Linked DNA regions of Tamandua tetradactyla. Each later gene encodes a partner of the first gene's protein in a complex. Links are inferred from orthologs where the notes say so. Each region holds a gene or a part of one and is shown in the gene's direction. Other genes may lie near its edges.

Evidence for each region. The genes of interacting proteins can lie anywhere in the genome.
Region 2: the proteins of TLR4 (region 1) and LY96 are in contact, whole or in part, in a crystal structure (PDB 4G8A), measured with the Homo sapiens proteins. The link is inferred for Tamandua tetradactyla from reciprocal best matches to the Homo sapiens genes TLR4 and LY96. Residues at the interface, in NP_612564.1 of Homo sapiens: Gln39, Met41, Glu42, Asp60, Ser62, Phe63, Asp84, Ser86, Arg87, Thr110, Gly111, Val132, Val134, Glu135, Asn156, His159, Ser183, Ser184, Asp209, Leu212, Arg234, Val259, Glu262, Phe263, Arg264, Asn265, Glu266, Arg289, Ala291, Tyr292; in NP_056179.4 of Homo sapiens: Met40, Tyr42, Ile66, Pro67, Arg68, Arg96, Ser98, Asp99, Asp100, Asp101, Tyr102, Ser103, Phe104, Arg106, Leu108, Lys109, Gly110, Glu111, Thr112, Thr115, Thr116, Ile117.

Annotation. Positions count from the first base shown.
Region 1 is NC_135328.1:39,947,166-39,954,699, reverse strand, and holds the start of TLR4 (toll-like receptor 4), read left to right. Parts: upstream 1-4,528; 5' UTR 4,529-4,803; coding exon 4,804-4,896; intron 4,897-7,534.
Region 2 is NC_135332.1:117,803,096-117,810,691, forward strand, and holds the start of LY96 (lymphocyte antigen 96), read left to right. Parts: upstream 1-4,592; 5' UTR 4,593-4,713; coding exon 4,714-4,825; intron 4,826-7,596. UniProt on the Homo sapiens protein: Binds bacterial lipopolysaccharide (LPS). Cooperates with TLR4 in the innate immune response to bacterial lipopolysaccharide (LPS), and with TLR2 in the response to cell wall components from Gram-positive and Gram-negative bacteria.

The DNA of each region.
Region 1 (7,534 bases):
TTGTGCCTAAGAGTTACTTCCTGAGGACTTCTTTTGTTGCTTAGATGTGGCCTCTTTCTAAGCCCACCTCTGCAATTCAAATGTTACTATCCCCCCATGTTTGACATGACATTCGGTATGAAGCATGGCAATGTGGGATATAACAACCAGGGATGAACCTGGCCTGGCACCATGTCAAAAGGGGGAAAATAATTGTAACAACATAAAGTATCTGTGACTGAGAGAGTTCAAATAGTGTCGAGAGGCTATTCTGGAGGCCACTTTTACACAAGCTTCTGCTAGATATTGCTATTTACCGTGGTTTGCCAAACTCCAACCAAACCCATTCTCGCAAACCCTAAAGAACACCATGAGCTCTATAAGAGATTCTACAAAAGTTCCACACACTAGGATTGTTTTCTAGCAACCTCCAACCTCCAAATGAGTTCCTAGGCAAGATAAGTCCTGAAACCCAGAGAGGCCAGCCTCTCCAGAACATCAGCTAGTTCCATTCCCCTATCCCATATTATTGACAACCTTTCCAATATGAAAAAGTTAGAATGGGCATAGTCCAAATACCCCTAAAGATTTGGAGAAAGACCACAAGAAAAGGAGGAGTTAAAACAGAGAAGATAAGACCTAATAGATAAGTATGACTGCTGAATCATTATATTGATATCTCTTTTAGTCTCCAATGTCTTGGAGCAGCTAGAAGGAAAAACCTAAAGTTGTGTAACTAACCATACAAAACTCTGAAATCTGTTCTATAACTACTTGGTACAATGTACTTTGGAATTTATTGCTTTTTTGTGTATATGTTATATTTTATAATTAAAAAAATTTAATATCACCTCCCACTCTTCATCTCTATTATTTTCCTTCTGTTTTCCCCTAATGGACCTTAACACCTTCTTACATACTATCTAATGTATTTACTTATAGTTGTCATTGGCTCACTGATCATTAGAACATACGCTCCATGTAATAGGTGTCTGCTTTCTTTACTGCGTATGTTAATAATGTTAATAATATATGTTAAAATGTTTATGTATTAATAATGAGTTAAGTAAGGTGTACAACTAAGAAACTATTATGCCATTAACTAAATGGGATGATTAAATATTTTAAATTATAGTTCTCTTTATATTACACTTTTCTGGGGTTTGAATGGACAAGTAGGAATTTACTGGAGATTTAGAGGAATAAAGAGGAAGAAGAAAGAGAGAAGAGTTTGCCTCAAGTTCCTGAGTAAAGGAGGCGATGAGGATTTTTTTTACCCAGGAAAGGTGGAGTGTTTACTACAAGAACTTTCTTCTTAATGCACTTGCTTTGACTTGGTGCTCTCCATGTTGCTTAAATTGGGGCATGAGCATCACAAGGGGATATATGCAAGTAGAAAAGTGTAAGAGAAGTCCAAGAATAATCACTGATCATCTTATAAGAGAGTCAAGTTACTCAATACGGAAAGTTGGCAAAGACTTTAAAATATTCACTGTATTTCAAAAACAAGTTATAATACATTGTTTGTTGATTTACTTATCAACTACTTACTGAGTACTTAGGTATGGACTCAGTAAATGTAAACATTGAACAAGGCTCCTGTTCTCTTGGAGTTTATATCTTATTGGGAGAATCAAACAGAACTGATACGAAAATTCAAATTAATTTAAAAATAACATGAGAGATGTTATAGGCATTCAAGCTGGGGAGGAGAAATATTTTGGGCTGTTTGCACCAAGAACTCCCGTGAAGGTGCACTCACTGCTTCGCCTACTAGTGGTATTTGGGAAGAGGCTATTGAGACATACAGGTCAGAACTTAACGTGAGGACCCAGTTGTAGGAGCAGGAAAAACACCACCTGCTAGCGAGAGAATACTGCTTAAGAGAAGCATTTTCTGTACCGTACAACACAGGAGCATTACTCGACAGCACACTAATGGATCCTGAATTTTTAATGGCTGTCCAATTGTAAAAGAAAGGTGCATGGGTCAAAAAAGTTGGAGAACATTAAGTACATTATACTCCTTTGTAGATGCAAAATACACACTAATAAAGTTTCTGAGCATTTCTTAGAAAATAAAATTTCTTTTTCTCTGTTTATCCCATTGCTTCCTTTATTTAATTGAAGAGAAGCTTGTTCTTATTTCTCTTTGTGATAAACCCTACATCACTGAATCTAAGATAACATTGATTATAAGAGCTATCATTTTTATTGGCCACCAAGAAAGAAAAAAGAAAAGCCTGTTAATTATAATTGTAATATATTGTCATTTAGGAGACACATATTGATTTGAGAGCTGTTGACATGTGAAAAGATGTGGAACTGAGAGTTACTGGATGGAATTGGGTTTGATTCTTAGATATACAAAATGAAGGGAGCCTTTCTTCCCTGAGCTGGGCTACACTGTTCATTATTATTATTTTGTTTTAATCACTCTGAGTGGGAATTACTGGATTTCAAGGTTATGGCACAGATATCCTACTGACCACTCAAGTTTTTGTTCCCCTTCCATAGTATAGAATCGGTGCTTCCAAGTAGTGATCACAAGCATCTATGAGAGTGTGTTTTGTGTGTGTATTTGTGTGTGTGCATGTGAGTTTTAGATAGAGACAAGAAGCTTAAAGTCAGGTAATCAAGAGCCCTGACAACTAGTTGTGGTCTTGGGACTAGCTCTGGTCAATGGAATGAGAGCAGAGGTGATGTATGTCACTTCTGAGCAGAGGTAGGTAAGTATCTGAGTGTCTTTCCTGTGTTCTTTTCACTCTTCCTAGCAACCTTAGAGATGATATGTTGAATATGACAGCATAATGAGATAGAAAGAGCCCGAATCCATGAGCCATTCTTGGAGTGCCTCCAATCAGGAACATCCTCATTGAACATTTCATGAGCAGGAAATAAACTTTTATTGTGTTAAGTCCCTGAAATTTGGAAGTTGATACAATAATTAACCTATCCTAACACAGACCAAAATGTTTTTTTCTTTCTTTATTTCTTAATGAATGAAGTGCCTGCCAAATAATATCAAGCACTTCTTCCAGGTGTCTGGTGAGGATAAGATTCCTCAGTTGATTAAATGAAACACACTAGTGTCTCCTAAATAGATGTCTAGAGGAGAGGCGAGGAGACTTAAGGCCTAGGCAATGCATAGTCTCATAATATTAATAAGGCATGAGATAATTATATTTGCATTTTATAAAGACCTAAAGTTCTCTTTGATTTGAAGAAATGAGTTCAGATCCTGAGATATTAGTCAAAAGTGTATCACACCAGCGTAGAACATAAGATATGTTCAATGGTAATGATTATGGAAATGAAGACTGGGTTTCTTGAAATATTTTACGGATAAAATCTCTAGGATTTGCTAGAATGTTTGGGTAGGCAATGATGAAGTCAGAGGAGAAAAAAAACAAAGACATATCTGTATTGGATGACTGTGGGAATGAAATGCCATTAGCTTTTTAGGGAATGAAACTTTATTGAGCACCTACTTTGTGTCAGAAGCTGCGCTAAGAATTTTACATAAATAATCTCATTTCATCCTTAAAGCAAAGTTTTGATGGGGGACTCTTTTTTTTTGAATTTTACAGGAATGTTGAAGGAGTTAAAATATTGTGATCAATCCACTATCACATCCTTTCTTGCAGCTTGATTTTAGACATGATGGATTTGAGATGCCTGCAGGACATCTCAGTAGAAATATCTGGGACACAATACCAGTAATAATCCTCATTTTAAATTATGTTCTTCTTCAATAGTTACATTGCACTTGCTATATGTTAGGCACAGTTCTAAGAGCGTTAGAAATACTAGCAGCTTGTTAAATTCCATGGTAACCCTGTGAGGTACATACCTTCTGAGCATCTGAGTGTCTTTCCCAGGCTGTTTTCACTCTTTCCAGCAACCTTAGATGCAATGTTGAATGCATATTTTATTCATCATAATAGATGCCACTTATGGAATGCAATGATAAACCATGTACCAGGCCTGACATTTTATGTAAGAGAACCCAATTCAATCACGCCAGGCAAATGATATTATTTCCATTCGAAAGACCAGAAAACCAAGGCTTGTTAGTTTGCGTATCCTGACTATTCTCACATGGCTTTATTTTTATTGATTTCATGAATATAAGCTTCTGTTAGTATTAAACACTATTATTTCCATTTTAAGACTCAGTAGTTTAACTGAGCACATGACCATAAAGTCAGCCAGCCTGGATTTGAAATTCAATGCCCTTGGTTATGAATAACGAGTTTCCTCCAATATTTTATACTTTCCCCCCCAGTGTTCTTTTTCTAGTATTTTTTCAATGCACTTATAGTTTCGAAGCTGTGTTTCACTAGAGCTTAATTTTAGTTTCCTAATGCTGAGTTTCTACACCAGATTTCATTGAATAGTAAGTTTCCACTACTAGAACAAAATGTGAAAACCACTGTCCTTGATAGGACAGTGTTTGACCCGAGTCTGATTGTTTTCCTAAGTTCATCAAGCCCGGAGGTCAGATGACTTCCTGGGATGAGAGCCAGCTTCCTCTTGCTATTGCTTCAGCCCCTGCCCTGCATGCTTTTTCTTTCTCCTTCTTCAAACTTCCCCTCCTGTGACAGGGGAGATAAATATCAGAAAAACAGAAGTCTAGAATGCTAAGACTGCCACTCTCACTTCCTTTTAACTCTTGCCCCGTGCTGCTTTGAATAGAGTAAGTCGTTGCTGTGGGGCACAGAATTGAGGAGAGGAGGCACCAGTGCCTCGGAGACTGCACTGTCACTAGTTACAGCACAATCATGCTTTCACAGGGCCACCGCTGGCCCTGGAAAATGCCAGGATGATGCCTCCTTGGCACCTGGCTGGGACGCTGATACCAGCCATGGCCTTCCTCTCCTGTCTGCGACCCGAGAGCTGGGATCCCTGCGTGGAGGTATGTGGCTGCGGTCGGCATATCTCCTTTGAGCTCTGCCTTGCTTCTGAAAAACTGCTCTCTGCCCAGAACTTCCCACTGTGTACCCTAGTTAGTTTCTACTGCAAAAAGGAGTCATTTTATCTTAAAGACCCAAGAAACTACAGGGGTCAAATAAGAAACTGTTACAGATCACCAAAAGGGAGTGGATGGCACATGCTGCACTCAGGATTCTGAGTGCTAACAGGGACTGTAGGTCAGGTAGATCTGCTTAAGATTACGGTTCTAATAGTTCCTGGCTGTGTGACCTGAAGCAAGTTATTAAGCCTCTCTGAGACTAGTTTTCATACATATAGAAGAACTACAATTATACCTACTTTAATAGAGAGCTGCTTTGATGTTATTTCCTTTCTGCTGGTGGTTTGTACACTCAGCTTCTAGGAGTCACTCTGCCTCTTTTGATGGCAGGGAGAAGATGACGTTTTTGTCTCTCAATAGAAAGAAATTTCAAGGCAGATTTCAGATTTCTGAAACCAGTCATAAAGTTCTGTCCAAAGGATGAAAAATAATGAAAGAACATGGAAAAGAGGAAAAAGTAAAAAGAGAGAGAGGTGTAAAATGTTAGCAAATCAGGGGTGAAGCACCATTCTTTGTGAAACTGGCTGGTTTGTAATCTCATTCATGATGGGTCTTGTTTCTCCCCTGCCTGCGTGGACTTCACAGTGGCTTTGGAAGCCTGTAGCCCAATGGAACAGGCATAGAGATGCAAGAGCAGCACAGGCAGCCAGAGTCCTGAAGTTGGGGACAGAGGGGAAAATAGATAACTTTAATACGTAGCAAGGACTAATTCACCACCTGAAAGACCCCCATGCACTTCCCACAGCCCTACTCCTTGCTTTTTTCCATGTTGTTAGGCTGATGGAGGCAGATCTCCCAGGCAGTGTCACTGTGGGAAAGTCACGCACCACTCGTAGCTCCTTCCTCTTCCCCATGTCTTGTTTTCTGTTAGTCGCCAAAGCCTGTCCATCTCTGACCATGCCCTGTGTGCCACACTAGTGCAGGCTCTCAGTTTCTCTGGCCTTGACTTTGTGATCGTGACTGTTTTCTATCACTAAGGAGGGTGATAGTGAGTCCATAGTCCCCTTCCTTAAATCCATTCTATACATCTTTGTTTATATGTGTATTTAGCTTTTGCTTTATTCCTGAAGCTATTGGCTCTAACAAATTACTTTCTCTTCCTTAAAAACTTTCAATAACTCCCCATTGCTGTTTGAAGAGTTTCCCACTGCAGGGCATTTGCCCTAGCTATTTCTCCTAACTGGAACGCTTTTCTCCTAGGTCAGTGCTGTTTAGTGACAATATTGTGTAAGTCACATATGTGATTTTAAATTTTCTAGTGGGCAAATTTAAAAGTTAAAAACAAAACAAGTGACACCAAATTTAATGACATTTCTATTTAATTTGATATAGTAAAAATATTTCAACATGTAATGGCATAAAATATTAATAAGACACTTCAGTTTTTTGTTACCAAGTCTTTGAAATATAGTGCAATTTTACATTTACAACATATTTCAGATGTCTATACCATCCGTATTTCTGATGCATAATAGGCATGTGTGGCTAGGGGCTACCATATTGGAAAACACATACCTAGACAATTGCATGGATTAATCCCTGACTTTATTAAGATCTCTGCTGAGTTATCTCCTTTTCACGGACGTCTTCCCTGATATCTCTGTTTAATAGAGTCCATATTTGCCTCTAGTCACCTTATTTTTCTCCATATCACATCAATACATATTTTTGTTTGTGTGTTTATCATTTGTCTTCCCGTTTGGAATAGAACCTCTAAGAGGGAAGGGTTATTGCTGGTTTTATGTATTGCTATATTTCTAGTGCCCGACATCTGATAGATGATCAATTGTTATTTGCTAAATAATTAAAAGAAATTGACCATAGGATAAAGTTTGTGTTTGAGGCCATCCTCTCCTGGCTCTAACCCGCCCCCCCCCACCCGTCGACTTACCACTCTCCTGCCCCCACTCATCAGCCAGCCTGAATTAGTCTCTATCCCTTCCTTGCTCACACCGCTCTCTACCTGTGACATGTCTTCCTTCTCCTTTCCATACATCCACGTCTTACTCATCGTTTAAGACCCACTTTGAGATCTTCTCTCTAGAAAACCTTCTATGATCCCTGCATCCAGAATTGAGCTCTATTTTCTCTGAACCAGAGAACATATTTTTCCAAGTCTGTTTTATGGCCCTGTTGGACAGAGTTCTGTTCCTGTCCTAACTCTTTAGACTGGGAACTCTATAGCAGATAGTAGAAAATGCCTACCATTTGTACTTACACAGAGCTTCATTCACTCAGTTATTTATTCATTGATCCTACAAATATGTAAGTGAGTATCAACTATTTGACAGCCACCATTCGAAATGCTGGCCGTACAGCAGAGAGCAAGATCATCAAAATGTGCAATCTAGAATGGGAGATGGAAACAAATATGGAACTATATGTACAATATTATGTCAGGTGGCACTACGGCTTGTGAAGGAGATATAGCCACGGCATGATCTGTGAGGCTCCCCTGAGGGGGTAACATTTAAGCAGATGGATGAATGAAGTTCAGAACTGCCACATATGACCTACATGA
Region 2 (7,596 bases), on another chromosome or scaffold:
CCTAAAAAAAAACCAAAAACCAAATGTTATCAAATATCCAGTCTGTTTAAATTTCCTGTGTTTAAAAAAATTTTTTTTCATACTTTGTTTGGCTCAGGAGCAAACAAAGTTAACACATTGCAATTGTTTAAATATTTTTTTAAGGCTGTTATCTATGGGCCCCCCTCCATTTTATACTTTTTTCCTTTGCAAATATTGGTTGAAGAAATGGAGTTTGTCCTTTAGCTGTCATGGTCTAGATTTTTCTGCTTGCGCCTCCATGGTATAGTTCAACATGTCCCTCTGTGTCTTCTGAATTTCCTATAAATTGATAGTTGGATCTTGAGGTTTCATCAGATTCAGGTTTGATTATTTTGAGTAGGAGTATGCCATAGATGATGTTTTATTATCTGTTGCATAACAAATCGCCCCTAAAACTTAGAGGCTTGAAACACCAATTAACATTTGTAATATTGCACAATGTATGGGAGTGGTGTAGTTGGATGGTTCTGATTCAGGGATTCATGAGGTTACAGTCAAGATGTCAGCTGGTGGTAGTGTATTCTAAAGGCTTCTGTGCTGATTTGAAAGTATTATGTACCTCAGAAAAGCCATGTTTTTATCCTGATCCTATCTTGTGGGAGCAACTGTTTCTTTTAATCCTCATTCAATATCATAGGTTGGAAATTACTGATTAAATTGTCTCCACAGAGATATGAAACACCTCACTGTGGATGTGATCTTTTGATTAGATGGAGGTGTGATTCCACCCATTCCAGATGGGTCTTGATTAGTTTACTAGGATCCTTTAAAAGAGGAAACATTTTGGAGAGAGTTAGAAATGACAGAGCCAACAGAAACTTCAGAGCAGAGCTGACACAGATGCTGACACTTAGAGAACAGAAACACAGATGTTTGGAGATGCTTGGAGCCTAGCAGACATTGCCATGAGATGTTAGGCAAGCCAGAACCTGGAGAGAGCCAAGGGAAGCCAAGAGGTGAAATCCAGCCCTGGAGAAGCAAACTGAGGAAATTGCCCCAGAACAGAGGCTGAGAGCAACGGAGTTCAAGGGCAAGGGACCAGCCGATGCCAGCCACATGACTTCCCAGCTGATAGAGCTGTTCCAGACCCACTGGCCTTCCTTAAATTAAGGTATCTTTCCATGGATACCCTAGTTTGGACACATTTATAGGCTTAGAACTGTAAATTTGTAACTTATTAAATTCTCCTTAAAAAAAAACTGTTCCAGTTCTGGTATATTGCATTCCAGCAGCTTACAAACTAACACAGCTTCCAAGGTGGCTCACTCACATGACTGATGAGTTGGTGTTGCATTTTTTTCTCTTAAAAAGGGAATTTATTAAGTTACAAGTTTAAAGTTCTAAGGTCGTAAATATGTCCAAACTAAGGCATCCAGAGAAAGATACCTTGACTCAAGAAAGATTGATGTCAGTCACATGGGAAGGCACATGGCTGGCATTTGCTGGTCCTTGTTCCTGGTTCCAGATTCTGATGCCAGTGGTTTCCTTTCTAAGCATCTGTGGGCCTTCATTTAGCTCCTCTGGGACACAACTCTGGGTTCTGGCTTGCTTTGCATCTCATGAGAAGGCACATGATGATGTCTGTTGGGCTCTGCATCTTTAAACGTACATGTGTAGGCACTGCTCTTTCTATTGTCCCTCCAAGTATCTCCAAATGTCTGTGTCTCTGTCAGCTCTGAAGCAACTCTGGTGTTGGTTTTGGCAGGAAGCCTCAGTTTCTCATCATATGGTCTCTTTGTGGTGCTGCTTGCTTTTCTCAGAGCAAGAGATCCAAGAGAAAGCAAGGTGAAATCCACAGTCTGTTTTGTCCTAGTCTTAGAAGTCATACAGTGTCACTACACAATATTGTATTAGTAACCAAGCCAGACTTATTCATTGTGAGAGGTAACTAGTCGAAGATGTGAGCCCCAGAAAGTAAGGCTCTTTGGGAGCTGTCTTAGAGCGGGTTACTGCTGTTCTTTCATCAAGAGCTATAGAATATCTTTTTTGTCTCTTTCTTTATGATGCTCGATGTCATGATCCTTTAATTCATTAGGTCTTGCTTCAAAATGGTTATCTTCAATTCCACTGACATTTGTTACCTGGAATATTTCTATAAATAGAAAAGAACAGGAAAGTAAAAGAAACATGTCCCTCTAATATTTTGTTACTCAGTAGTTCAGTTTATATAAAAAAGTTATGATACATGTTTATTTCGCCTTACACTATGGACTGCATTGTGTCTCTTAAAAGGATGTGTTCAAGACCTGTCTCTGGTCCTGTGAATGTGATCCTATTGGAAATAGGACCTTCAAAGGTGTTACTAGTTAGAATGAGTCCAAATTGGATTGGGATGGATCCTGATTTAATAGGATCCTTATAAGGAGAGGTAGTTTAGACATGGTAGGAACAGGTGAGGCAGAGAATGAGTTATACCACACATTGTTGGCAAGTCACTACCAGAACTCTGCAGACTCAGAATGTATTGTCCTGCCAACATTATTATTTCAGACTTCTAACCTCCAAAATTGTGAGAAAAAATTGCTGTTGTTTTAAGTCATCCAGTTTGTTGTACTTTGTTATGGCAGCTCTATAAGACATTTAATTTTCCAGTTTTCAAAATAGAATTGGTTCCCAAGCATCTTCTGATAATGACAGATTAGATTGTATATATATGAACTCATGAATTTAAATATATTTAATGCATTTCAATTCACTGGAGTTACTATCTTATAAATACTCATATAGTCCCATGGTAATAGGTTCAATAATCGCCTCCAAAATGTTCACCGTCTAATCCCCAAAACCTATGAATATGTTACCTTCCATGATCTGCTGGTTTGAAACTGTTGTGTACCCCAGAAAAGCCATATTCTTTAATCTTGACTCAATATTGTTGGGTGGGATCTTTTTAAGTTGTCTCCATGGGGATGTGACCCACCCAATTGTAGGTGGGACCTTTTGATTAGGTTGTTTCCATAGAGTTGTGTCTCACCATTCAAGGTGGGTCTTAATCCGCCTACTGGAGTCATTTAAAGAGGGAACCATTTTGAAAAAAGCTTTAGAGCTGACACAGAGAGAGACTTTTGGAGGTGCAGAAAGAAAATGCCCCTGGGGAAGTCGTTTGAAGTGAGAAGCTGGGAGAGAAAACTAGCAGACAGAGAAGGCTAGGAGATGTCACCATGTGCCTTCCCAGCTGACAGAGGTGTTCCAATTATCTGTCTCTGGATTGGTTTGAACATTTTTCTGGTCTTAGAACTGTAAACTTGTAACTTAAAAAATTCCCTTTATAAAAGCCAACACATGTCAGGTACATTGCATTCCAGCAGCTTTACAAACTAATACACATGGCAGAAGGAACTTTGCAAATTTGATTAAGGGTCTTGCAAAGTAGAGATTATCCTGGGTGGGTCTGATATAATCAGAGGGTCTTTAGGAGAGGGACGTGGGAGATCAGAGGAGATGGTACTGTGATGACAGAAGCAGAGTTTGCAGTGATACTCTTTGAAGATGGAGGGAGGACCACAAGCCAAGGACTATAGGTGGTCATTGGAAGCTGTAAATCAAGGAAGTGGAATCACCTCTCTGAGCCTCCAGGAGGAATCAGTCCTACCAACACTGACTTGAGCCCAGTGAAACTGACTTTGGATTTCTGGCCTCCAGAACTGTAAAAGAATATATTTGTGTTGTTTGAAGCCACTGTTTCAGGTAATTTATTACAGCATACCCAGGATGCTAATGCATTCATCTTTGTTCAGCGGGACCCTCTTCAAATTGGCTATTTAATATAAGATATTCCAGGCTTGTCTTATACATTTTCTGCCTCAGACCTGGAGTCAGCAATTTCTCCAAGTAGGAAATGGTATTTTAGATGGAAATAGTATTTTGAGACTCCAGTCTGGGCCCTAGAGGTAGTCATGGGCTTTTGCATTTTTAGAAATGCGGAAAGAAGTGCAGCTCTATAGTAAAACGTTTTGCCACAGCATATGATTATCTCCCTCTAAACAGATTTTTAGACCCATGCCATGTTTGGCTATCACCCCCCAAACTATATCCTATAAAGTTTCAAAGAATCTAGAGAATGAACTCTTTTTCTAAAACGGAGTGGGATTTTTGAAATGAAATATCTATCAGATACAAAATAATGGCCATTTCATTTTTAGGGCTCAAAATATTCTCTTGTGCTGGGGTTTGCTGTAGCTAAGAAAATTCTCGAGCCTGGTGGGGTAGAGGACTGATAAGTGTTCCATGATTAGGGGCCTTACCCAGGTCTGCTCTGCCCTGTGGCTGAACCTGTTACTGAGCAGAAGTCATTTCCAATAGACTGTATTCAATTTTGCTCTATAGGTCCAGCTTCTTGGGCCAGGAGAAATTGCTGTGTAAAGAGCTCACGGGAGAGAATAGCAATGCCAGATGGAAAAGGGACCAATAGTTTACTACTGGCTGGGAAGTGTTTGTTTTTAAAGCTCTGGTCACTCTCACTGGCATCAAGTGTTCAAAAAGAATAATCATAAATCATTTTCCTCTCTCTCTTTGCAGGAAGTGCTCAAATATTAAAGACACACACACAAAAAAGAGGAAATAGTTGGCTAGGAACTCAGAAATCATGTGACCGATGACTGAGTTAAACCTTTTTCACTTACTGAAAGGGAAGAGCCTGATGATTAGTTACTAATCTTCATTGTATTTTTAAAATTTCGGAGAGATTTAATCATGTTCCCATTTATGCTTTTTTCCACTCTGTTTCTTTCTATATTTACTGAACCCAGGAAGGAACACTGGATCTGCAACTCCTCCGATGCAAGTATTCGGTACACCTACTGTGGTAAGTAAAACAGCAACAGCAAACCTTATTCTGGCCATCACTAGGTCACAGGGAACTGTGTATTCCAGCTGCTGCTGCTGCAGCTATTGCAGGCAGGAAAATTGTTGGCTGGCAATGGCCCTGCGTGGACCTACTCGACCCCCTGCAAAGTTTAGGACTCTCTACACTGTGTTGTGTTTGACCTCCAGATGTTTCTGTGGTTCTCTTTGTCAACTGTCTCTAGTCTGAATCCACTTTCAGATTCTTCTCCTTTTTAGAACTATTTGTTTCCTAGCTTTTGAGCCAGCCCCAGGACATACTGGTTCTTAAGGAAGTAGGACAGTCTTAGCTGCCTGCTGGAGTGGATTTCTGCTCTGGGCTGTGAGTTTTAGGACTCCTGGAATCCTACCCCTATTTGGATATAAACCTGGTTCTGTCTGTTAATAGCTGTGTGGCTTTGAGCCAAGTGCTTAGCCTCTCTATGCCCCAGTTTTCTTATTTATAAAATGAGAGTGGTTTCCAAAATACCTTACCAGGATTTTTGTGAGGTGAAATTTTAGCACAGTGCCACATGGAAACTGTGCTAAATATTTTTGTTTTTTAAATCAACCATACCCTAGTACTATTAGCTGGTAGTATCATTGTCTTCTCCTGGTCCAAAGATACTTTCAGGGCCTGACGGGGTTTGGTTTGGCGCTTTCTACTGTGTTGCTTATCATGGGTTGCTTGAACTTATTTATGCCCACTTAATTAGATTATGAAGATTTAAACTTCCCCCAGTACTAATTCTTTGAGATTTCCTTTGGAAAAAAGGATCCATGGTCTAATCTTTGGGGAGAGATTTACAAATATACTTTGAGTTTGGAGAAGTTCTTCAGTAAAGAATTCTGTTTAACCCAAATGTGTTAAAAATGTATTTTAATTAATTAATTAGCTAATTAATTAATTTTTAATGTGTGTTGACTGTCCTACAAACATACTCTGAGAAATGCCAGTATAGAGTTAATTGCCCAGGTGTGAAAATAAGACTTAGGTATGTGACCAGTCACATACTTGGGGCTTTATCCCTATTTGTGGGTTGTGTGAATTCCCTCTCAACTGATCTGTGGAATCTCTCCATTTTTCAAGATCAATCTCCACTCTCCATTTCCCAGGAAGGCTCCTGGGTCCATACAGGCCCCAATTTTCTCTTTTCCTCTGGCTCACCTTTACCACCTGTTGATGACATCATTTGCTCTGTGTTACATTGTTCCTTTAACTTTTATTCATATAACATTTTGTGCTAGTTTGAAACTGTTCCATATTCCAGAAAAGCCACGTCCTTTAATCCTGAATCAACATTGTAGGGTGGAAACCTTTTTGATTAGATGTCTCCACAGAGATGTGAGGTTCCCAGCTATGGGCATGACTTTCTGACGAGATTATCTCCATGAAGCTGTAAAGTGCCCAGTTGTGGGTGTGGCCTTTTGGTTAGATAGAGATGTGACTCCGCCCATTCAGAGTGGGTTTTAATTAGTTTACTGGCATCCTTTAAAAGAGGAAACATTTTGGAGAAAACACAGAGCCAATGCAGATGCTTTGAAAACAGTTGCTTCAGAGCTGACAGAGCCAACACAAGAACCAGACGCTTGGAGTTGCAGGGCCCAGCAGACGTTCCCATGTGCCTTTCTGTAAGATACTAAGCAAGCCAGAACTCAGAGTTGTGTCCTGGAAGAACTAAGAAAAGGCCCACCAAAGCCGAGTAAGGAACTCCCACAGGAAACAGAGGCTGAAAGCAGTGGAGCCCAGGAGCAAGGGACCAGCAGATGCCAGCTACGTGTCTTCTCAACTGACAGAGGTGTTCCCGATGGCATCATCCCTTCTTGAGTGAAGGTAACCTCTTATTGGTGCCTTAGTTAGGACATTTTCTTGGCACCAGAACTGTAAGCTTGTAACTTAATAAATTCCCTTTGTAAAAGCTGTTCCATTTCTGGTATACTGTATTCCAGCACCTTAACAAACTAAAACACACTTCGTATTATTTTTTGCTTTTAATCTTTCAGTAATGCTATGTCATGATATTGTAATTGTCTTTTGAGTTGAATTCCCAAAGAAGATCTTACGTCCCTCTAATGCCGAGAAATTCTGTGGTTCTTGCCTTCAGCCCCTCTGATGTAAGGATGGTGGGCAGCATGTGAAATATACATCACTACCTTATCACGCCCTTCCCCACCTGAAAGAATCCATTCTGGCTGAGCCAGAAATGCCTCAGGTGTGGGAAACACGGAATCTTATAGGTACTCTGTGAGGTTGTTGGTGACAACAGCAACTGCTGATTCAGTTCTAGATGAGGATAATTTCCATGCAGAAGGACAGGTAAATTTCCATTTGACCAAGTTACTAGGCATATACAGAAATGGGAAGACTTAGCTATTTTTTTTCTTCCAGCTTTGGAAAAGGCAGAAAATGTGGGTAAGTGAGTCAGTCCACAGGATCCTGGCACAAACCCTCCTGTTATCCAGGGTAGTCAAACTTGGTTCTAACCTTTCTATACTGCAGATAGTCCAGGAACTCAAGGAGTTAATGGTTAATTATGTAAACCAGTATTTACTGGGCACCAAGCACTTACCTGTTTAGGCACTAAAGAGTCGGCAATGAACAAGAAAGAGAACAGTTCCTGCTCTCATGGAGCTCATCTCAGTAAAATATTCAGCATGTCAGATGGTGGTAAGTGCTGTGACAGAAAAATAAAGCTGGGGAGGGACATAGAAGGTACAGAGATTGACAGGATGATTGTTGATTTTTAGGATGGC